3 linked regions of the Elephas maximus indicus genome follow. The protein of the gene in region 1 binds, or shares a complex with, the protein of each later gene. Links are inferred from orthologs where the notes say so. Each region holds a gene or a part of one and is shown in the gene's direction. Other genes may lie near its edges.

Evidence for each region.
Region 2: the proteins of NDUFAB1 (region 1) and LYRM4 are in contact, whole or in part, in a crystal structure (PDB 6ODD), measured with the Homo sapiens proteins. The link is inferred for Elephas maximus indicus from reciprocal best matches to the Homo sapiens genes NDUFAB1 and LYRM4. Residues at the interface, in NP_004994.1 of Homo sapiens: Lys92, Asp111, Ser112, Leu113, Asp114, Val116, Glu117, Met120, Glu123, Asp124, Glu129, Ile130, Asp132; in NP_065141.3 of Homo sapiens: Arg6, Leu10, Ser11, Tyr13, Arg14, Leu17, Arg18, Lys21, Arg37, Phe40, Arg41, Lys44.
Region 3: NDUFAB1 (region 1) and FDX2 share a complex: the UniProt entries of both Homo sapiens proteins name them as parts of the mitochondrial core iron-sulfur cluster (ISC) complex. The link is inferred for Elephas maximus indicus from reciprocal best matches to the Homo sapiens genes NDUFAB1 and FDX2.

Annotation. Positions count from the first base shown.
Region 1 is NC_064830.1:83,810,063-83,817,036, reverse strand, and holds the start of NDUFAB1 (acyl carrier protein, mitochondrial), read left to right. Parts: upstream 1-3,897; 5' UTR 3,898-3,937; coding exon 3,938-4,105; intron 4,106-6,974. UniProt on the Homo sapiens protein: Carrier of the growing fatty acid chain in fatty acid biosynthesis.
Region 2 is NC_064819.1:47,044,831-47,052,207, reverse strand, and holds the start of LYRM4 (LYR motif-containing protein 4), read left to right. Parts: upstream 1-4,360; 5' UTR 4,361-4,676; coding exon 4,677-4,762; intron 4,763-7,377.
Region 3 is NC_064821.1:28,419,155-28,427,233, reverse strand, and holds the start of FDX2 (ferredoxin-2, mitochondrial), read left to right. Parts: upstream 1-5,018; 5' UTR 5,019-5,121; coding exon 5,122-5,275; intron 5,276-5,360; coding exon 5,361-5,415; intron 5,416-5,622; coding exon 5,623-5,729; intron 5,730-8,079. Other genes in the region: RAVER1 (ribonucleoprotein PTB-binding 1), read left to right, coding at 516-603, 860-1,071, 1,168-1,476, 2,274-2,348, 2,844-2,975, 3,349-3,432, 3,522-3,668. UniProt on the Homo sapiens protein: Electron donor, of the core iron-sulfur cluster (ISC) assembly complex, that acts to reduce the persulfide into sulfide during [2Fe-2S] clusters assembly on the scaffolding protein ISCU.

The DNA of each region.
Region 1 (6,974 bases):
AGGGTAATGCTAGCTTTATAAAATAAATTAGGACATGTTCCCTCTGCTTCTATTGTATGGAAGGGATTGTAAAGAATTGATATCATTTCTTCTTAAATGTTTGGTAGAATTCACCAGTGAAGGTATCTGGGTCTGGCGCTTTCTGTTTTGGAGGGTTTTTAAGTGTTGACTCAATTTCTGTAATGTATATAGGCACCTTCAGATGATCTACTTCTCCTTGCGTGAATTTTGGTAGATTGTATCTTTCAAGGAATTGGCCCGTTTTATGTAAGTTATTAAATTTGTGGGCATAGACTTGTTCATAATTTTCCTTTATTGCCCTTTCAATGTCCATGGATTCAGTACTAATATTCTTTCATTTCTGATATTAGTATTTGTGTGTTCGGTCTCTTTTTTTGTCTTGGTTAGCCTGGCTAGGAATTTATCAATTTTATTGATCTTTCTAAAGAACCAGCCTTTTGTTTTGTTGATTTTCTTTCTTAATTTTGTTTTCAATTATGTTGATTTCTGCTCTAATTATTTTTCTTCTGCATACTTTTTATTTAATTTGCTCTTCTTTTTCTAGTTTCCTACAGTTGGGTAAGGTGGAAGCTTAGATTATTGGTTTTAGATTTTCTGTTATATGCATTCAATGCTCTCAATTTCCTCTTAAACATTGCTTTTGCTGCGTCCCACAATTTTGATGAGTTGTATTTTCATTTTCATTTAATTCAAAATACGTTTTAAGAAGTAGCTAGACTGCTTCTTTGACCCATGTATTATTTCGAAGCATGTTGTTTAATCTCCAAATATTTTGAGATTTTCTAGCTGTGATTTCTAGTTTAATTCCATTGAGATCTGAGAGCGTTCTTTGTATGCTTTCTACTGTTTTAAATTTGTTAAGGTATATTTTATAGCCTAGGATTTGGTCTTCCTCAGTGAATATTCCATGTGAACTTGAAAAGATTATGTATTCTGTTGCTGTTGGATGAAGTGTTCTGTAAATGTCACTTAGATCCAATTGATTGATGGTGCTGCTCAGTTCATCTGTATCCTTACTAATTTTCCACCTGCTGGATCTGTCAGTTTCTGATGGAGGGGCCTCGAAGTCTCCGACTCTAATAGTGGATTTGTCTGTTCTTGCAATTCCGTCTGGTGGCGTAGTGGTTAAGTGCTACGGCTGCTATCCAAAAGATCGGCAGTTCGAATCCGCCAGGCACTCCTTGGAAACTGTATGGGGCAGTTCTACTCTGTCCTATAGGGTCACTATGAGTTGGAATCGACTCCACGGCAGTGGGTTTTTTTTTTTTTTTTTTGGTTTTGCAATTCTATCAGTTTTTTTGCCTCACATGTTTTGTCTCTCTGTTGTTAAGTGCAAACACATTAATTATTATTATATCTTTGTGGAGAATTGACTCCTTAACGTTATGTAATGCCCCTCTTTATCTCATAATTTTCCTTGCTCTGAGATGTGCTTTTTCTGAAATTAGCATAGTTACTCTAGGTTTTCTTTTGATGAGTGTTAGCATTTGTATATCTTTCTCCATCCATTTACTTTTAAATTACAAGGCATACTGAAAGTTAGAAAATGCAGTGTGAAGAGATAAAGCGAGCATCAGAACCAGACTCAGATATGGCAGAGATTTTGGAATTATCAGACCGTGCATTTTGAATAATTATAAATAATATGCTAAGCGCTGTAACAAAAAAAGTAGACAACTTGCAAGAACAGATGGGTAATGTAAGCAGAGAGATGGAAAGTCGGGTAAGAAAGAAAAGTAAATGCTAGAATCGAAAAACACTGACAAAAATAAAGAATTCCTTTGATGGACTCATCAGTAGATGGGACATGAAGAGTAAAGAATCATTGACATTTCAATAATGTGAAAACCTAATTATGCTGTGCAGAGTGGAGTCAGGAAGCTAGAGAGGTAGTCTGGGGGCTTGTGACACGTTAACAAATCTGGATTTTGCAGGTGAAAAGAACCCCTGGAAGGGTTTGAGTCGTGAAGCGAAGAGGTCCCACTCTGGCTGCAGTGTGAAGAATGGATTTGTGGAGGCGGGGAGATGACCCTGTGGGGCTCATATGAAGGGTCAACGGAGGGAGCCTCTGACATTGTTTTTAGACTGTGAGAAACTTTGGCATCTTTATAGGCTCAGAGAAAAGAGCCAGAAGAAAGAGAGATGTTGAAGATGTGGGAGAGTAGAGATACCTGGTAGCCCAAGGAGGGGGTGATATAAAGGTGCAGGTGGGCTGGAAGGGAGGGATAACTGATGGGTCGGTGGGATGATGTGTACAAGAAACTGACAATAGTTTATGTTCATACAGTAAAACCTGTGAAGGGTAGAAACTGTGTAAGGTGGAAACCTGTCAGAGAAGGAAAATGCAAATATTTTCTACTAAAACGAGCAATAGAAAAGTGGTAAGACCACACCCTGTCAGAGGCAGAAAACTTGCAAGACCTGGAAAAACGCAGACCTGTTGAGTTTCGGCTCTCACAGGTTTCACTGTACATCCTTTTATGGTGCAGAGAGGCAAAAATGAAAAGCACCAGTGACCTTTCTTGAATCTTCCTCAATTGTTAAGGACTTGATCTTAATATTGGACCTTTTACCCAACAGACCATGTAGGCCAACATTTTCTCCTAATGTGTTTGCTGAAGGTAAAAGTAGATGTCTCAACCAATATAACATTTAAATAAGAGGTTATTTATTATTTTTCACTGAAAGGATTAAATGTAACTCAGAAATACTAGAAAGGCCATGGGGAGAGATGATCCCAAGAGTGGGCTCAGTAGGCTATCGTGGTCTTCTGATTGCTCCCTCTTCTGCTGGTGTTACAGTCAGCACCACAGCACTGTCTCCATCTCTCCAGTGTGACCAAGGAGGAGAAAGAAGAGGATGGTGTATCACCTAAGCAGATCTTATAGGCCCTGATCCCACTCATACCAACCAGAGATTTGGTGCCAGTTTCTGCAGAAATGGAAGGCTACCTTTCAAAATAGAGGTTGGTCATTCCAAGGAAGTGATACAGTTTCTCTTCCAATTGCTAATCAACAGAGAAGTGGTAGAAACAAAGTCAAAACCCATTGCCATCAAGTCAATTCCAACTCATAGTGACCCTATAGGACAAAGTAGAACTACCTACCCCATTGGGTTTCCAGGGAATGCCTGGTGGATTCAAACTGCCAGCCGTTTGGTTAGCAGACATAGCTTTTAACCACTACACCACAAGGATTTCCTAACAAAGTCAGGATGCAGGAAAAGCCTGGTGGCTAATGCAAACAGTTTGGCAGGTTTAACCTCCCTCCATTTCCGCATTTTTGTTAGTTTTATTATTTATACTTTGTCAAGTTTTAAAACATGCGCATTGTTTTTTATCATCATTCCCATATGTATTAGTATTAGGTACATATTTAAAGCGATTCTTGTTTTTCACATTCTTTATTTTCGCATTCTTATTTTGTACTTTTGGTTTTTGTATTTTGCACTGAGTTTTTTACCTATTAGATTTTAATACTTGTGTAAGAATTGGAAGCCTTGGTGGCGTAGACCCACCAGGCGCTCCTTGGAAACCCTATAGGGCAGTTCTGTTCCGTCTTACAGGGTCGCTATGAGTCGGAACCGACTCCACAACGGGTTTAAGTAAGAATCGTGGCATCGAAACTTAAATAAATGTATTTCAGAACTTTCAGAGAATAAGCAATAAGTTCTTGTGCTTTTTATCACTGTTTATGGAAAGACAATAGCTGCGCAGTCTTAGTTACGGCAAGTAACTCGCTTCCGAACCTGGACGGCCCTGTAGCGCAACCCGGAAGACGCAGTGCCAGCTGGGGCCGCCAGGGGCCGCCAGAGCCGACGGCGCCCGACAGCGCCGCTCTGTGCGTAGCCTGCGCGGGGCGGGCACGGAAGCTTTGCCCTGAGATTGCGGCGCACTGCATCCTGGGTTAGCGTAGCCATGGCGGCTCGTGTCCTTTGTGCCTGTTTCCGCCGCCTACCCGCGGCCTTCGCGCCCCTGCCCCGGTCCACCACGCTGGCCGCAGCCCGGCCACTCAGCACCGCCCTGTGTCCCGCGGGGATCCGGACGAGACCCCGGGCTCCGGAGCCAATCTCGATTCTCGCGCAGGTGACTCGCGGTGACTTTGCTGGGGCCCGGCAGGGGTCAGGGATCGGGCACGCTCCGGGATGGGGAGCGGGGGCCCGACTGAAAGGGGAGGGAGTCGGGCCTTGGGGCGGCGAGTCGGGGCTAGCAAGGTCTGCACGGGAAGGCCGAGGAGACCTAGGGCGGGCAGCGGGACTGCGCCAGTTGCAGGTGGGGTGACCCCGAGGGCATCTGGCTCGCTCCCCGACCTCACTGACATAACGGGACTTGGTTGATTTAAGCGGGGAGGTGGGGTCACCTAGGCCCCCTGACCCTGGCCCCCAAGGCCCGGTTATGAGCAAGAGCACAGACTCCCGAGTCAGACCCTCGAAAGGTGGCTGCCATTTACTGAAACTTTGCAAAAGTCTCCTCATGTCTGGAAGCCTCAGTCTGATCCATGGAATCGAGATACTGGTCTCTGTCTTATGGAAGTGCGGTGAGAGTTAGTGAGATCAGATCCAGCACCTACTGCGGTGCTTGGTAAGCTCTCAAAATACTGATGACTGTTATTTCTAGTAATAATCATAAACACCGTGATAGCTTTCTAGGGGACGGCGAGTAACAGGGGCCACACTGGCCTACAGCCTTCTCCAGAGTAGTTCTCTTCCCGGATTTCTGTCTGAAATTTTCCCTGTGGCATCTTTTGCCCGGTTTGTGGGCCTTCTGGAAGAAAGGGTGGAAAACAAGTAGGATCTAGCTTATCTGATGAAATCTGTGTGAGGCCACAACTCTCAGCAGGGCAGTGATTGTCAATCCTAGCTGCACATTAAGATCTCTTGGGTAGCTTTCAACCCCATTTCCACCTCACCCCCCCACCCCCACCCCCACCCCCACCCCCACCCCCACCCCCACCCCCACCCCCACCCCCACCCCCACCCCCACCCCCACCCCCACCCCCACCCCCACCCCCACCCCCGCAGCTCTCATTCTGGCTTCTGGGATATATCTCTGGCATGGGTTTGTTTTTTTTTTAAGTTTCCCAGGTGACTCTGAAGTGCAGATGAGATGAAGAGCTAGTGCCTTAAGGTAGGATAGAATCTCCCAAGGTCAAGGTGAGAAACCCATTTCAAACTCACTGACTTCATATAACACAGTGGTTTCAACTTTGACCAAATGTTAGAATTAAAAAAACAGGATAAGCAGGCCAATTCAATCAGAATCTCTAGAGGTGAGGCCTGGGCATCTAATTTTTTAAAGTCCTCAGGTGATTCTTTGTGCAGCCAGTGTTGAGATTCACTGATGGTGTAATGGATTAATTCAGAGTGTTATCCTATTAGTTGGATCAAAAGGTTAATGTTTCACTTTGAAGTTAAGGGCTAAAAGGGCAGTAGGTAGAGTTGCTGCTAAGTGTTTTGTTCCTGATTTCAACATTAGGCTGAAATGCGAAGTGATTGTCCCTATTCTCAGAGCATTGTTTCTCAAACTTCATTGTGCATAGAGATCACCTGGGTTACAATGTGGATTCTGATTGAGTAAGTCTGGGAAGGGCCCTGAGAGTCTTCATTTCCAGTGGGCTCCCAGAAGGTACTGATGCTGCTGGTCCTTGAACCACACTTTGAGTAGCAAAGTTTGAGTAGCAAACCACACTTTGAGCATGTCCTTGAATATGTTCCTCTACCTCTGCTTGGTTCATATATACAATAGAACCGTTTTATATTTGCATAGTGGTTTTGACTAAGTGCTCGCATTTAACATAGTTACATCCTTCATGGATTGAGGTGGAGAATAAATACTTGTTCATTCAAAGATACTGAGGGACAGCTATGTGCCAGGCCTCCTGCTGGTTGTTAAGTGATACTGAGATGAATACTAAAGAAAGACATTAATTCATGTTTTCATTGGACACCTTGCAGCCCACATGTTAAACTTGCCAGCTTCTTTGCCAGTGCTGTCTTCTATAGCCTGTTGTCACACTATTCTCCCTTGGTTCTTCCCTTAGCTCTCTGCTCCTACCCTGTTTCCTTGGGCTCTTTCTCTACCTAACAGTTAAACGTCAGTGTGCTCCCGAGTTCTCTTACCACACAGTGTCTTTGAACTGCCTCTTCCTCTCTCTTAGTTTCTGTTATTCCCTGTATTCCAATCACTCCAAATCTCTACCTCCAACCATTGTTAGTCTCCATCTGGACTGTTGCTTGTTCTCTCCACTCCCCTTCTCAGATCCCATCATTGCAACTACCTGTATCAGTACCCATTGAGTCAAATCGAATCTGATTCATAGTGACCCTATAAGTAAGAAAAAAAGAAGAAAAACAAGGGTAGCGGCCTAAAATGGAGCCAGGAAGCCTTAATCTTGGTCCAGGTGGGACCCGAATCTAAACTTGCTAGCAGCAGCCAGAACGCAAAGAGAAGTTCCAAACAGTTCTGTGGGACACATTACCCAGATGAAGAGAAACCACTTATGCAGGAACCCACTGCCATTAAGTTAATTCTGACTCTTAGCAACCCTATATATATGCAGGAAAGGCTTGGCTATTCCTGGCACTGGCGCCGAAAGTCATGTCTGACAGTGATGGACTCAGAGCTGAGGTTTGTCCGTGTCATTCATTCTCCAGTAAAACAGAGTCCTGGCCCCTGACCCTGGCCCCAAAAGCCCTGCAGACCTGGGCCCTGGCTCTCTTCCACCTCAGTGCCTGTCATCAGTGCACCACTTTGCCCTTTAATGTGCAGCAACATGAACTCATGTCTTCCCACACAGACACACTACACTTTCATGCCTCATTTTCTTTTGCTGGACTGCCCTTCCCTCTCCTGTTCTTTGTCTGAAGCCCTGGTGGCACAGTGGTTAAGAGCTTAGCTGCTGACCAAAAGGTCAGCAGTTCAAATCCACCAGGCACTCCCTGGAAACCCTATGGGG
Region 2 (7,377 bases), on another chromosome or scaffold:
AACCAAAAAAAAAAAAAATTATTAACCGTCAAGTCCACTGCTGCTCATACAGCAACGCTACAGGACAGAGAAGAAATGCCCCACAGAGTTTCCAAGGCTGTAATATTAATGGAAGCAGACTGCCACATCTTTCTCCTGAGGAGCAGCTGGTGGGTTTGAACTGCCAACCTTTCGATTAGCAGCTGAATGCTTAACCACTGTACCACCAGGGCTCTTTTCTATAAAGATTACAGCCAGGTAAACCCTATGGGGCAATTCTACTCTGTCACATGGGGTTCCTATGAGTCAAGAATCAACTTACCGGCACCAAACAACAACAGTATTTGGTAATATCCCTATCACAGCACTTGTCACAATAAATTATTGCTTTGCTTATCTAGTCTTCTACAGGTTTACTTAAGGGGTTTTGGAGGGCTCTCCTGTATCTCCATCATCTTGTACAGTGTATGGCACTTAGGGAATGTTCAATAAATGCTGAATGAATGATTAAGAAATCACTTTAGTTTGTTCATCTGTAAAATGAGTCATATCTAAGGTCCCTTCCAGTTGCATATTCTCTAAGAACTAAGGATGGATAAAAACAAATGAGGATAACAGAAGCAGATCCACAGAGTGGAATCATTCCTAAATTATAATATCAGAAACTGCTTAAACAAGATTTTCTTTACACATCATTTTGATATACAAGCTTAAAAACCAAAATCAAAATCCAGATCCACCGTCATCCAGTTGATTCCAACTCTGCTTATTACAGCTGGAGAAATTTCTCTTCAAAAGCATTAAGTGCTCATTGTAATATAAGGCAGTATGATTTCACAAAGAACTACTGGTAGTTAATAATATGGACAATTGAGCATAATTTCTTTTTTACATTTTCAGGCCTAAGCGGTAGTAAAGGACCCCTGGCGGCTCAATGGTGAAGCGCCGGACTAACTGAAATGACATCGGTTCGAATCCACCACTGGCTCCAAAGAAGTAAAGACCTGGCTGCCTGCTCTCATAAAGATTACAGCCTAAGAAACTCTATAGGACAGTTCTGTCCTATAGAGTCACTATGAGTTGAAATCAATTCGATGACACACAAGTGGTAGTAGGAGGGTACCCAAACCCACGGCCATGAAGTCGATTCGGACTCATACCAACCCCATAGGGTTTCTGAGGCTGTAAATCTCTACGGGCAGACTGCCACACCTTTCTCCCGTGAAGCCACTGGTGGTTAGCAGTGGATCACTTTAACCACTGTACCACCAGGGTTCCTAGTAGGTGGCTACTCCCTAGTTTATTTATAGTCACTTTGCTAAGACAAGGAGCCGTGGTGACACAGTAGTTAAGCACTTAACTGCTAACAAAAAGTAGGCAGTTTGAACCAGGGATTCGAACAGGTTCCTCTGGTTCGAACCCCTGGTGAGAATTTGCATTTCTAACAAGGTCCCAGGTGATGCTAATGCTGCTGGTTAAGGACCAATTCTGAGAGCCACTACCAGAGCAGTAGTTCTCAGAACGTATTATACATTAAGAATCACCTAGGAATCTTGTTAAAACATAGACTGATTCGGTATGTCTGGGGTAGAAACGAAAATTCTCAGCAGCAGTTAGAACAGGAAGAATCCGTTCAAAGCCCTGGTTTAAACCCACCAGCTGGTCCACCAGAGAAAACAAGTGGCAGTCTGCTTCCGTAAAAATTACACTCACTGCACAGCAACTCTATAGGACAGAGTAGAACTGCCCCGTAGGGTTTCCAAGGATCGGCTGGTAGATTCGGAAGACTTACCCTTTGGTTAGCAGCCAAACACATAACCACTGCATCACCAGGGCTTCAGCTCTATAGAGATTACAGCCTTGGACACCCTATGGGGCAGTTATACTCTGTCCTACAGGGTCACTATGAATCGGAATCAACTCAACAGCATCGGGTTTGGTTTTTTGGTTTTGTAGGAAACCCTGATGGCGTCGTCGTTATGGCAGTTGGAATCCACTGGGCGCTCCTTGCAAACTTTATGGGGCAGTTCTACCATGTCTGATAGGGTCATTATGAGCCGCAATGGACTCGGGGCAACAGGTTTTGGTTTCAGGGTTTTAAGAGTTCTCAGCCCAGTATGGAACGCATATTAAAGGACATATGAATAAGGGTCCATTCTCAGCTTCTGGCCGCATTCCACTTTCAACCTCAACTAGTCATCTCTGCAAACGTGACCTGCAAAAACAGGAGATTTAGCTTTGGTGTTATGATTTTTCATTAGTCTTTAAGGCAAGGATATTCAACGTTCTGATAAATCATTTCAAATAACACAGTAAGTCTTTTTGTGAAAACTTAGTTTAGGATTAACTGGGAAGGTATCACTTTCATACCTAGTGATTTCTCAACATTCCTTGTACTAACAGATGACTAGGCTACTCAAGCAAACTATTTAAATTTTACATATTTATTTGGAAAGTTTCACTTGGTTACAACAAAGTTAAGTCATTTAGATACATCAATTGTAAAATTGCTTGATAATTAGGCAATTGTATATGGTATTAACTATGCCAGCTAAACTTTCTAAATGAAAGCAAAATACAATAACATAACTCCCACTATTTCTAAACAGGCCAAAAAAGGTTCATTTTTTGTCTTCTCATTTTGATAGTTTTCTGTAACTTTCATCAACATTGTGGTTTTCCCAGATGCCACATATCACTTTGTATCACCAGCACACAAAATTGTATCATATTAAGAATGAACTTTATGTGATTCCATTGGTCTTGAATCCTTTAAAAATTGTCACAGAAAAATCTCAAAATTTTAAAAGTACTTTCAATAAATCCTTGGCAAGATTTGCCCAGAGGCCTGACAGACCAGCAAAAAGTGACAGAAGTTCTGTTACCTTGTAAAAGATCTATTTTGAGACATATAGATGTATGAGACCTTGAAGAAATCCGACAGGAAGATCAAAAGGTTAGTAAAAGCATTTTCTCGCTGTCTTTTTATTAAGTGCCACTGCCAACAGGACTAGTGAGTAAATTTGGACCCAAAGACGTGTTGCCAGTACACGTCCCAAGTACGGTAAGGTCAGAAAAGAAAGAGTCTCCTGCCCCTAAAGTTCCTGAAAACACCAAGTTGCTTTGATTGTGTACAAGTGTTCCACAGTCTGGGCGATCCGCAATCTTTTCAAAACTAGATACGTTAAAATACTTTAGAACACAATCATAACTCAGTGGTTGGAAAAAAGATAGATTAATGGAAACGTTTGTCTTTTAAGCATGAAGTTGCTCCTCGCTGTGTTTGGGGCAGAAAGCTGTGGTTCTTCCTAACGTTGACTATACAACGCAAGACTCCAAAAGTACGTGCTTTGCACGCAGTCACTAGAAGCCGCTCGGGCTTCCCTGCGCCCAGTCCCACGCTCAAAAACCACTACGTAACACGGTGGTTCAGAAAAGTTGAAGTCTTCTGAGAAAAAACCCCGGGAGAAGGCTTAGCTATGAAAAGCTTCAGGAAGAAACTTCCAGAGCTTCTTGCCTTGGGTCTGAAATGATCACCACCGTCCTTAAACTCCTAAATACCCCCAATTAACCTACAGCCCAGGCGGCCCCGCCTTTACACACTTATTAAATTACAAAACTGAATAACTCATGACACAAAAGCAAAAACTCGAGTCTCAAAAAATAACCCGTTAACACAGAAAAGTCTACGGCCAAGTGCAAACTCCCCACCACACGAACCGACCGCGTCGCATCCCCACGCTGCAGCGAAGCCCGCACTCACCCACCGCTCACCCCGGAAACCCAGACTGCAGGCGTTTCAAACTCAGAAGCGCAGCAGGCCCGCTCGCTCTCACGGGGAGGACGGCAACCCCCCACCGCAAAGCCATCCGTGCACGCTGGGCGCTGCCATTTTGACCAGAAACTGGGCCCTGCCCTGCAGGCCCCTTAAGCCTGTCGCCCTGAACGGAGCCTGCATGCCACAGAAACACTGCCCCGTCTCCTCCGCGACCCTCGCGCCCCAACCCCCGCGCGGCGAGAGCCTTGCGTTCCCTGCTAGCCGACCACGTTCGGCCGCAACGCGACGCCCCCGACCGCCCCGCACCGCCTCTCAGGCAGCGCCGCGGGCGGCCGCAGCCGATGGGGGCGGGGCGTCCGCGGCTGGGTGCCTCTGCGGCCAGCGGAGGCGGAGCGCGCGCGCTCGGTAACCCAGCAACGAGGCGCCCGGCCCAGCGGGGCGCTGCCGGGTGACGCACCCTCAGATACAAATGTCTCCACTTCAAGCCCGAGTGGTTCGCGGAGACGCTCCGTGACGGAGCGGGAGCCCGCAGTGCTCCAGCCTCCGACCCCATCCCCGAAGAGGGGACTCGGCGCAGAGGCCGTCCCAGACCCCAGCCCCACAGCCCGGCCCGTCAGTTGGCGGCCCCTCCTCCCGCGTGCCGCGCCGCGCCGCGCCGCCCCCGCCGCCTTAGCTGCCCGGCGCCCTGCCTGCGTGCTTTTCCTAAGGTCGCGCGGGGCTCCCGGGCGCCTTCCAGAGGCGAGGCCAGGACGCAGGGCTCGCGCGGACTGGGCCAGAAGCCCGGACCCCGCCAGCAAGGCGGAGCACTGCGTTTTGTTCGTGGTGTTTTTATTTTTTTGCATAGGCTGAAATTTTGTGGGTTGCGTTAGGGACCTCCGCAAAAAGGACCCATTTATTATTTTATTTTTTTTTCCCCAAAATGGCAGCCTCCAGCCGCGCACAAGTGTTAGATCTTTACCGGGCGATGCTGAGAGAGAGCAAGCACTTCAGCGCTTACAACTACAGGTGACCCAGCGGGCAGCTGCGGGGGCCGGGAGGGGCCGGGCGCGGGATGCCCGAGAAGGTCCCGGGGAAGGGAGTCCACCCACCCGGCGCCGCGTGCTCTTGGCGGCGGCGGGAAGGGCTCCTTCAGCCAAAAGCGTGCACCTGCTGACGGGGGTGGGTCCGGAAACCTCGTGGTGAGGAGCCCTGGGTTTGCGCTTGTAGCAGAGAACACCTTTCCGTTCTTTGGACATTTCTCTCCAAAGCGAAGTCTTTGGTACGTGCTTTTGACGCACGGTTGGTGTTTCTGCTGTAAAAATGATGGACATGAAAGGTGCAAGTGATAAAGCTAAGACCAGTTTCTTGCAGACACAGGAGTTTCCCTAGTAATTGGGAGAGTTGACAGTGGACGTAACCACTTGGTGGCACATGTCCACAGAGCTGAAGGCTCTCGCTAGCCACCCCTTTCATTTCACAGGTATCTTAATTAGCTTTTTTGGTTTTACTAGAATCAAATGCATTCTAGTTAGGTTATGGGGGGGTGTGGCATAAAAATAATACACAAATAGTGGTAAGGGAGATGGGTGTCACAAGGTATCAGGAGCAGAAACATTCGTTTGTACTGGCCTCATCAAACCTGCAGCCAGATTATTCGGCTTTAGCAGCAAGAGAAAGGACCCCAACTCTAGTGAGCCATTCTTAGCGAGGCGTACTTTCCTTGCCTGCCCCATTCTCCTATTTGTTCCTGAGTCACTTATTCTTACTCTTTATTACAATATGTTTTCTGTACTTCAGAACTTGTGCTTCATGTAACTTCTGACTTCACTGTGTGTATCTTATACATTTTCTCTCTACATGCTTTCAGATTTGATGTCTTCTACTAATTACCTGATTCTTTGTGAATTTGAGCCATGTTTCCAAGAGCAAGAATTTGGCTGGAGCAGCTCATCTTTTCACACCAGCCCTCATTTTAGATGACTGGCCAGCCAGCCTATAGATTGAGTGTCATAGGACCTTGATGCCTACCCTGGAACAAAATGTGGTTAGCTAGGTTCTCCCTGGTGGAGCCCTGGTGGCATAATGGTTAAGAGCTCAGCTGCTAACCAAAAGGTCGGCAGTTCAAATCCACTAGCCATTCCTCGGAAACCGTATGAGGCAGTTCTCCATCCTATAGGGTCGCTATGAGTCGGAACTGACTTGATGGCACCTAACAACAAGCAACAGCAGGCTCTTCCGTGGCTGTTATGTGAGCATGCTGGCCCTGTGATTGGTAGGTCCAGTTCATCGCGTCGCAGGAAAGGATGCTGAGTCTCTCACGCCATGACTGTCTCGTTTTTTAGAACCAAAAAACCTACTGCCGTCGAGTTGATTCCAACTCAAAGCGACCCCATAGGACAGAGTAGAACTGCCCCACAGGGTTTCCAAGGAGCCGCTGGTGGGTCCAAACTGCCGACTTTCTGATTAGCAGCCAAGCTCTTTAACCACTGTGACACTAGGGCTCCATTTTTTAGAAACCTGCATAGAAAAGGCACTTTTCCTGTAACTTAAGAACAACATTTAGGGCATGCCAAGGAGGTCATATCCACTAAGTAGTTAAAAGAAACATTTCATGAGAAAGCTTGATTTTACTTAATAATTTTGGCCTTGAAGGTAGAGGAAATAAACCCTATAATTTTTTTTTTTTATACTGGTAGAATTTTTAACAAGGATTAACCACATATATAACACCAAGTTATCGACTCGACGGCACTGGGCTGGGTATAACACCAAGTACTTAACTAGGTCTGTTGAGGGAGTGCACAAAATATGCAAGTGGAAACCAGCCATTGCCCCCACAGCCTGGAGGAAGTTATTTTGTCACCTAAATTTTCTTAGAATAAACAGGGCTGGGTATCAGCGTGCAGTTCACACGTTGAAGAAACAGTGACAGAGAGAGGGTCTGTCTGGGAGCACGTGGTAGAAAAGTCCAGCAGGAGCCCTCAGAGGATATCTAACCTTGGGCCAGTCACTCAGCCTCCGTATTTCAGTTTTCTTTCTGCAAAATTAGATTGTTGGACTGCATCATCTCTAAATACTCTTCTATGTCTGAAGTTCCATTTGGAAATGATTTATGAGGCAGGTGGTGAAACTTAGAAATGAAGTTAAGTTTTTTCGAGTGAATAAATGCTAAGTAAACTGCAGGAAGAGCTGTCAAAGCCATACCCAGTAGGCAGAAAATTGGAAATGAGTTTCAGTGTGAGGGACTATAAGGTAATGTACATTTAGAAAACAATTGTTGCAATTATACTTTGAGCCTTTGAGCTAAATTTATTATCTAAATATAAAAGCAGTATTCAAAGGAACCTGGTAATCATTTTGCACTGTTTCCTGAAATTGTGGACCTAAATCCTGAGATTCCTGCTAGTAACATCTCCTAAGATAATAAATTTACTTATAGGTTTTCTTTTTATTAAAGCTACATCCAGCAGTTTTCAAGGATAGCCTCTTCCTTCCTCTCTAATCTTAGCAACTATTTGTGGCTGATGACAGATCAGTAATAACATCTTCCGATCCCTTTTGTGTGCCACTACTATTTTCTGTGCTTTACGTCTATTACTGCATTTATTTTTTACAACAACCCTGTGAAGAAGGTAGTATTT
Region 3 (8,079 bases), on another chromosome or scaffold:
CACACACACACACACACACACACACACACACACACACACACACACACACACACACACACACACACACTCACTCACTCACTCACTCACTCACTCACTCACTCACTCACTCACTCACTCTGCTCTGCCTGGTTTGGTCCACTGGAGCAAAATCAGTGATGTGGGTGTGTCTGATTGTAACTGACAAGGGCATGAGGTTGTGTGTGAGGGCCCTTGTATGGCTAAGAGTGACTGTCACCATGTGTGTGTATGTCTGACAGTGGTAGACAGTGTGGGGTGACAGACCCTGACACACTGTGTTTTTGGTGCATGGCTCCTGTGTCTGTCCAGTACTTAGGACTCTCCAGTACCTAGGACAGGGTAACTGCATAGTAGGCCCTCAGCAGCCATTGTCTGAGTGGATGGGTGGTGAGTGGGTGGGGCCACTACCTGTCTGTCTGAGTGGCTGTGGGCTGGAGGCTAGGCATATGCTGGGTGATTGGCACCCCTGTTCCCAGCTGACTGTGCTCTGTCCCTAGAAGCCTGGCATCCTGGGAGACTCTCCCCTGGGCCCCCTCCAGCCTGGAGCCCAGCCGGCCAACCCCCTTCTTGGGGAGCTGTCTGCAGGTAATGCAGACTCTACTGTCTCTCTGCTGGCACCACCCCACATCCCCTTCCCAAGCCCATTTCCTCACTGGGAGTGTCTGTTCCCAGCAGGGTGGCCTTGGGCAAGTGGCCTCACCTCTCCAGGTCTGTGTGTCTTCATCTGTCAGCTGGTGCTCAGTGTTCAGCCCCTTGTCCACTGGGCCCTGGTCCATGTGTGGAGGCTCCAGGGGGAGGGATCCTGCTCGGCCGGGCCCCTGACCCCTCCTTCTCTTTGTAGGGGGGGGCCTGCCCCCAGAGCTGCCACCTCGGCGAGGGAAGCCGCCACCCCTGCTGCCGCCACTGCTTGGCCCCTCTGGAAGTGACCGGGAGGCCATGGGCCTGGGCCCCTCAGCAGCCCAGCTCACTCCACCCCCTGCCCCCACGGGGCTCCGAGGCACTGGCCTTAGAGGCCTCCAGAAAGACAGTGGGCCTCTGCCAACGCCCCCTGGGGTAAGGCCCTGCCCTGTGCCCAGAGCCACATCCACCTCCCACCCTGCACAGTTCCCTCTGCCGGGGACCCTTGCAGATACCACCGTCCCGCCACAGGTCTCACTGCTAGGGGAACCCCCTAAGGACTTCCGGATCCCCCTGAATCCCTACCTGAACCTACACAGCCTGCTCCCAGCCAGCAACCTGGCGGGTAAGGAGGCCCGGGGCTGGGGGGGCCCTGGGAGGAGCCGCCGCCCAGCTGAGGGCCCCCTGCCTGCCCCCCCAGCCCCTGGAGGCGGCAGTGGTGGAGGTGGCAGCAGCAGCAAAGCCTTCCAGCTCAAGTCTCGTCTGCTCAGCCCCCTCACCAGCACCCGCCTGCCACCTGAGCCAGGGTTGCCTGACAGCTACAGCTTTGACTACCCCTCGGTAAGTACCCAGCACCCTGTGGCCAGCTATCCATGAGGGGCCAGCTGGTGTGGCCTTTTGTCCCAAGAGCAATTCATCTTCCAAACTGATATTTCTCCCCTACTGAGTCAGCTGGGTCCCAGGCCAGAGGCCAGGGAGACAATGGGAACATGCTGGACACAGTCCCTGCCCTTAAATCTGTCTGTCCATGGACCACCCCAGGTCCTGTTTTCTGTCTGCCTATCTGTCCCTGCAGCTCAGCCCGTGCATCTGTCTGTCTCTCAAGAGGCCTTCCTTAGGCCGTGTCTCTTTCTCCCTAGAAGCAGGGCTCAGCGACCTCTCTGTCCATCTGTCCTCACTTTAGTTTCTGTCTCTGTCCCTGGTTCCAGTCTCCTCCAGGTCAGAAGTTGCAAGCTGGCCATCCACAGGCCACCTGTGTTAGGGTTTTTTTTTTTTTAAAAAAGACCTGAAATAAATGCCAACATATAAAAATTGTGGATCTACACAACCCAGGTTCCCCGCTTGCCTTGCAAACCCCCCTACACCTGGCCCAGTGAGGGCTAAGCTTCTTCATGGTAGCCATCACTGGGCCCAGGTGCAGCACCCTCTTGGACAGGCACACACCCCATTTCATTCTGCCTGTGCTGCCCTCTCATGGCCCCTGCAGGCCGAGTTTGGCCCCATGTGCTAGCGTTTGCCTCAGCTGGGCCTCGAGAGGAGGGGGCGGACATGCCTGAGGGCAGCTGGGCCGTGGAGTTCAGCTGAGGCGGAGGTGGGTGCAGACTCCAAACCATCGTGCTTCTCCCACTTTCATTCAGGACATGGGACCTCGGCGGCTCTTTTCTCACCCACGAGAGCCCACCTTAGGGCCCCATGGACCCAGCCGACTTAAGGTAAGGGCTGTTGTGGCCACTCCTCCTCTGGGTGTACTGGTTAGCTACTGCTGCAGAACAAACCAGCCCTCCGATAGTGACTTAAAACAGTGAACATTTTGTTAGTTCTCACCGTTCTGTGGGGGTGGCGAGTGGTTCTTTGGAGTCATCCGGCCACTCGACTGCGAATGATGATCCCCGATGGTCTCACCTGCATGGCCGGCGGTTGGCAGGCTGATGACAGGGGCCTTAGCTGGGATGGTGTATCTCTGCTCCACACAGAGCCTGTGCCCATTCATGTGCTGGTGGTCCCAGGGTTCCCCAAGGAGGAGGGGAGGCCTGGTCTGCAGGCTTTATTCAGGACCCTGCTTGCAGCATCTTGCTGCTGTCCCCTTGGCCAAATCTAGTCACAATCATTTGGGGGATCCACACAAGGGTATAGACAGTAGGAGTCATGATTTCTTGGGGGCCAGTATTCCAATGGTCTGCCTCACTTAGCTCACCCCTTCTCTGCAGATGTCCCCCCCGCCCAGTGGCTTCGGCGACCGGAGTGGTGGGGGCCCCCTCTCTCACTTCTATTCTGGCTCGCCCACTTCCTACTTTGCCAGTGGCTTGCAAGCTGGCCTCAAGCAGAGCCACCTCAACAAGGTGAGGAGCTTCCCTGGCCAGGACATCCCCAGGGACAGCCAGAACGCAGAGCCCCTGCCTCCAGGGCTCTGGGAACTCTGAAGCCTAGGCCATGGCTCAGGTGAACCAAGATGTCCTTGTCTCAGTGCCTACATGTCAAGCACTGCCCCTGCCCAGCCTGCTGGGCTTCCCATCACTTCCTCCCCCAACAGCCCAGTGTGTGGGTGGTATTAAACCCAGTTGACAGATGAGGAAACAGAGGCTCTGCTCCAGGTCTCCTGGCTACTAAGTAGCAGGGGGAAGGTGTGAACCTGAAACCCCTTGCCTCTGCCCTAGGGACTCCTTCCTCTGGGCTACAGGAACTGACTCTCCTCTCTTTCTCCATTTTGCCCAGGCAGTCGGCTCCTCTCCGCTGGGCTCCGGAGAAGGGCTTCTGGGCCTCAGCCCAGGGCCCAATGGCCACAGCCACCTGCTGAAGGTACGGGCAGGGGACAGGGACCTGCAGGGCTGGGGAGCCGTGGCCCCTGGATGGCCCCTGACTCACCACCCCCCACCTTCTGTCTCCAGACCCCACTGGGTGGCCAGAAACGAAGCTTTGCCCACCTGCTGCCCTCGCCTGAGCCCAGCCCGGAGGGCAGCTACGTGGGCCAGCACTCCCAGGGCCTTGGTGGCCACTACGCGGACTCCTACCTGAAGAGGAAGCGGATTTTCTAAGAGGCCAGCACCAGAGATGCTCAAGGGCCTGCACTGAGTCGCTTTTGGGCCTTCTGGTGTTTTGTTTTTTTTTTTTGGTAATAGAAAAATCTTGGAAAGACTTTTCTGACCAACTAGCCGGAGCCCAGGGAGTGTGGGGGAGTCTGGGGGCCACTCTGCACCTTTGGCCTGCTCTGGGCGCCGAAACCCTGCAGCCTTACGAGAGAGGGCCCCAGCCTGCGCTCTCTCCCCTCTGCTGTCTCCTGCCCTCCACTGTGTCCACCTCTGGGAGTCCTCTCTTGCCTCGTTGCTCCTGTGTCTCGGCCTTTCGAGTGCCTTGGAGGTCTCCGTGACCTCCCGTGAAGATCAGAGACTGCCCCCCTTTTTTAACTTTGACAATTGACTTTTGTTTCCTTTTCTAATTTTTAACGTTTTTTAAAAACAATCCAGGAGAACCCCAGCTCTGATTCCTTCAAGGCTCAGCGTGTCTGTTCCTCTGGTCCACACCTTTTGGTTTGAATGGCCATTTTCGCTTTTCCCCGTGTCTGTTGCAGGCAAGGTCGTCTCCTGCCCCTGCCTGCCCACTCTGGCCTGTGCCCAGTCCTGGGTCCCCAACTCCCTGCCACAGTCCCCTCACCTTCAGATGCCTTAAAGCCAGGCCCCAGGCCCCAGCCAGCCAGAGCCTCTCAGACGCCAAGCTCTGGAGCTTGGCTCAGGACCAAACCGCTCTGGCCTGGGGATTGGGCCCCTTTGCCCAGGGTGCCTGCCCCTGGGACAGAAGGAAGTCAAAACCTTGGTCTTGGCACACCCACCCTCACCTTTGCGCCCAGGCCTACATGCAGAGCTGGGCTTTCTCTGCCAGCTGAAGCCAGTCCCCTGCTGTCTGTGAGTGTTGAGCATTGTATCCAGCCCAGTGAGCCTCTGCTGTCCACCCCCTTCTGAAGACAAACTCCACCTCTCCATTCCCAGGCCAGATCACCCGGAGCTGGCCTCCCTTTGGCCCAGTGCCCCACACCACCAACTCCATGTAGATACGCTTGCTCCTGCCCGTGAGCAGGACCTGTCTGCCAGAGGTGACCCTGGGCCCTGCTCCTGGCCAGCTGGGCCACCAGCTTCCTTCCCCAGACTCCGGCCCATCTCCACTCCAGGGGGTGTCCTTTCCCCAGTCCCACACAAACCTTTGCTGAATTAAAGTTTGTAAGTAAATGGGTTTAAAGAAAGCAAGACTGGCTGGTTCTTGGGCAAATAATGGGCCAGGGTGGGAGGTCTGGGATGGCCCACAGGTCTCCGCAGGCCCGGGTTACCTGGCCCCCTCCCGACTTTCCCCGCGTCCTCCCATCGTCCCACCCCTGGTATCCTGCACAGAAGCGCTCTGGCGCACACTTCAAGGAAACAGACGGCGCTTATGCTCGGATCTTTACGGATCTATTGTGCGTACTTCCGCAGCGCGCATGCCTAGTCCTCGGGTCACGTGATGCCTGTTATGGCCGCCTCCGTGGCCCGGAGCGGTGTGAATGCCGGGGTCTTGCTGCGGGCGGTCAAGGGGGTCTGGTGGGGCAGACTCGGGGGCTGTTCGGGGGCAGGGGAGGCAGCGACGCCGGCGACAACTAGGGAATTCCGGGCGACAGGTACCCAGGGTGCGCCGGGTGGGCAGCGTTAACCCGTCGGCCGCCGGTAGGGTGCGGCGCAGCCGCTCACTGAACTGTTTTCCAGGCTCGCGCCCAGCGGGGGAGGAGGAAGCCGGCGACCCTGAGCGGCCCCGGGACGTGTGAGTGCGGGGCAAGCCCCCCAGTCCGCATCCCACGAGGTTTCTCAGTACCCCACCGTGTCCCACAGCCTCATCTGCGGAGTACTCCTTCGGCCCCGCCCTATTTGCTTGTCCATCAAACCCCAGCCCCGACTCCCTAACCCTAGATTCCACCGGATTCGGGGTCCCTGCCCCAGTTCGGCATCTGTACTCCCCATCTGTCCCCAGGGTGAACGTGGTGTTCGTAGACCGCTCAGGCCGAAGGATCCCAGTGAGCGGCAGAGTCGGGGACAATGTTCTTCACTTGGCCCAGCGCCACGGGGTGGACCTGGAAGGTGGGAGCTCCGCTTAGAGAATTGGGGTGGCCCTTATTCATTCATTTGAAAAACCGCAAATCAGACTATGTCTTTCCACTGCTTAACCTTCCAATGGCCTCCCACCAAACATGGACCAAAATCCAAACTCACCGTGGCCACAACCCCAACCCAGCTCCTAACCATCCTGCGCTCAGCGCTTGGTTATTGAGCATTTACTAGAGACTAAAACTCTGGCCCTTCCGGAGCTTGTGTTTTCTTATTCTTTCTTCTCTCTATTCTAGCCACACTGGCCTCCATGCTGTTCCTCAAACAGCCAAGCTCATTCCTGCCTCAGGGCTTTTGCACTTGCTGTTCCCTCTGCCTGAAGTGCTTTCTGGCCAGATGTGGCTCCTCTGCACCCTGCATGTCTCAGCGTAAATATCATCTTGATGTCCCGGTCCCCTTAGCGTAGTTAAAGTTCCCATGCCCCAGTCACTCTTATCAGTTTACGGCTGTTTCGCTTGCTTCTTTTTCACCCATCCCATGACAAGAAGCAGAAACCCCATTTGCCACTTATCTATTGTCTATCATGGTACCTGAACATAAAAAAAAAAAAACAAACCTGTTGCAATCGAGTTGATTCCAACTCGTAGTGGCCCTATAGGATAGAGTAGAACTGCCCCGTCAGGTTTCCAAGGCTATAATCTTTACGGAAACAGACTGTCACATCTTTATCTCTCAGAGCAACTGGTGGGCTTGAACCGCTAACCAAAAGGTTAGCAACCGAGCACTTTAACCACTGTTAAACCAATGGTTAAGCACTTGCCGGCTAACGGCAAGGTTGTCAGTTTGAACCTACCAGGGGTTCTTCAGGAGAAAGACATGGTGATCTCTGCCTGTTAAGAGTAACCAACCCAAAACCAAACCCAGTGCCGTCGAGTCGATTCCAACTCATAGGGACCCTATAGGACAGAGTAGAACTGCCCCATAGAGTTTCCAAGGAGCGCCTGGCAGATTCGAACTGCTGACCTTTTGGCTAGCAGCCGTAGCACTTAACCACTACACCACCAAGGTTTCCCTGTTAAGAGTACAGCCAAAAAAAAAAATCCTGTGAGGCAGTTCTACTCTATTACATGGGATCAGCATCCACTCCATGGCACCCAAATAGAATGTAACAGGTGTTAAATCAGTATTGGCTGAAAAAATAATAGACACTACTTTAAGCGTGTTAACACATACTGATTGAATCTTTTTGACAACTCTAGGTAATAGGGAGACTGTTATCCCCATTTTATAGATTAGGAAACTGAGCCCCAGGTTATGTAGACTTGGTCCAAGGTCAAGTAAGTGGCAACATTAGATTCAGACCCATCCCATTTTCACGACTAATCTGTGCTACCCTTCTCTGAATTTTGAGCACCTACTGTTTGCCAGGCTCTGTGCTGGGGGCTGGGGAGACAGCAGTGTACAAGACAGATAAGACCCCTGTCATCTGTCACCAATTTCAACCTAATAGGGACCATAATCCAATAGTTCTACGAGTAAACATGATATCATGAGCAACTGGGAAGAGTAGTCTGAAGGAAGATGTGCAGGGGTTGTCCCGTAGTGGTGGGAGCCTCATTTAATCATTAGAGATGTTGAGGGCATGAATGGAGGGGGGCATCAGGGCAGGCCTACCTCGAGTTCTGTTGTGGAATCCAGCCAGCCCCTAGACCAGCTCCTTATCTCTGGGAAGTTAAGAGCCTTGGCTGGCAGTCCAGGACATAGGTTGGAAGACGAGTCTTAGAGGCAAATGCCTGTGTTCAGATTTTGCCTCTTACCAGCTGTGTGGCCCTCGGCAAGGTACTTAGCTTCTCTCGGCCTCTGTTTCCTCATTTATAAAATGGGATAATTCAGTTCCTATCCCACTGGGTTACTGGGAGGATTAAACAGGTGTCATGCACATGGTTAGCACCCAGTGAATAGCTGGGATTATTGTATAACTAGATCATTTTAATGTCCTGTGATGAGAATGCTATCAAGGTAGGAAATGGCCTCGGAAGAGATGCCCGGGTATTACTTGGAGTTTCAAGGCCCAGACATTTTGTGCCCAGGAGACCAGGAGGATGGGCAGATTAGACACAGGGCCCAGTGGTGGCATTTGAAGGCATACAGGGAGGTGCTCCTGGGTCTGGAGGCTGCCCTTCCAGCTCCACCCACATTGCAGGACATGTCTGAGAGGGAGAAGAGGAGGGACAGTTTAGCATGCTATTGTTTGCTCGTGACAAATGGTGCTTGAGCATCTACGGCATGTGCCAGGCTCAGTGCTAGGTACAGAGAGGCTAGGGCAGGCCTGCGGGGAACAGGTAAACCCAGAGGTCCAGATGTGATCAATGCTATACAAAAA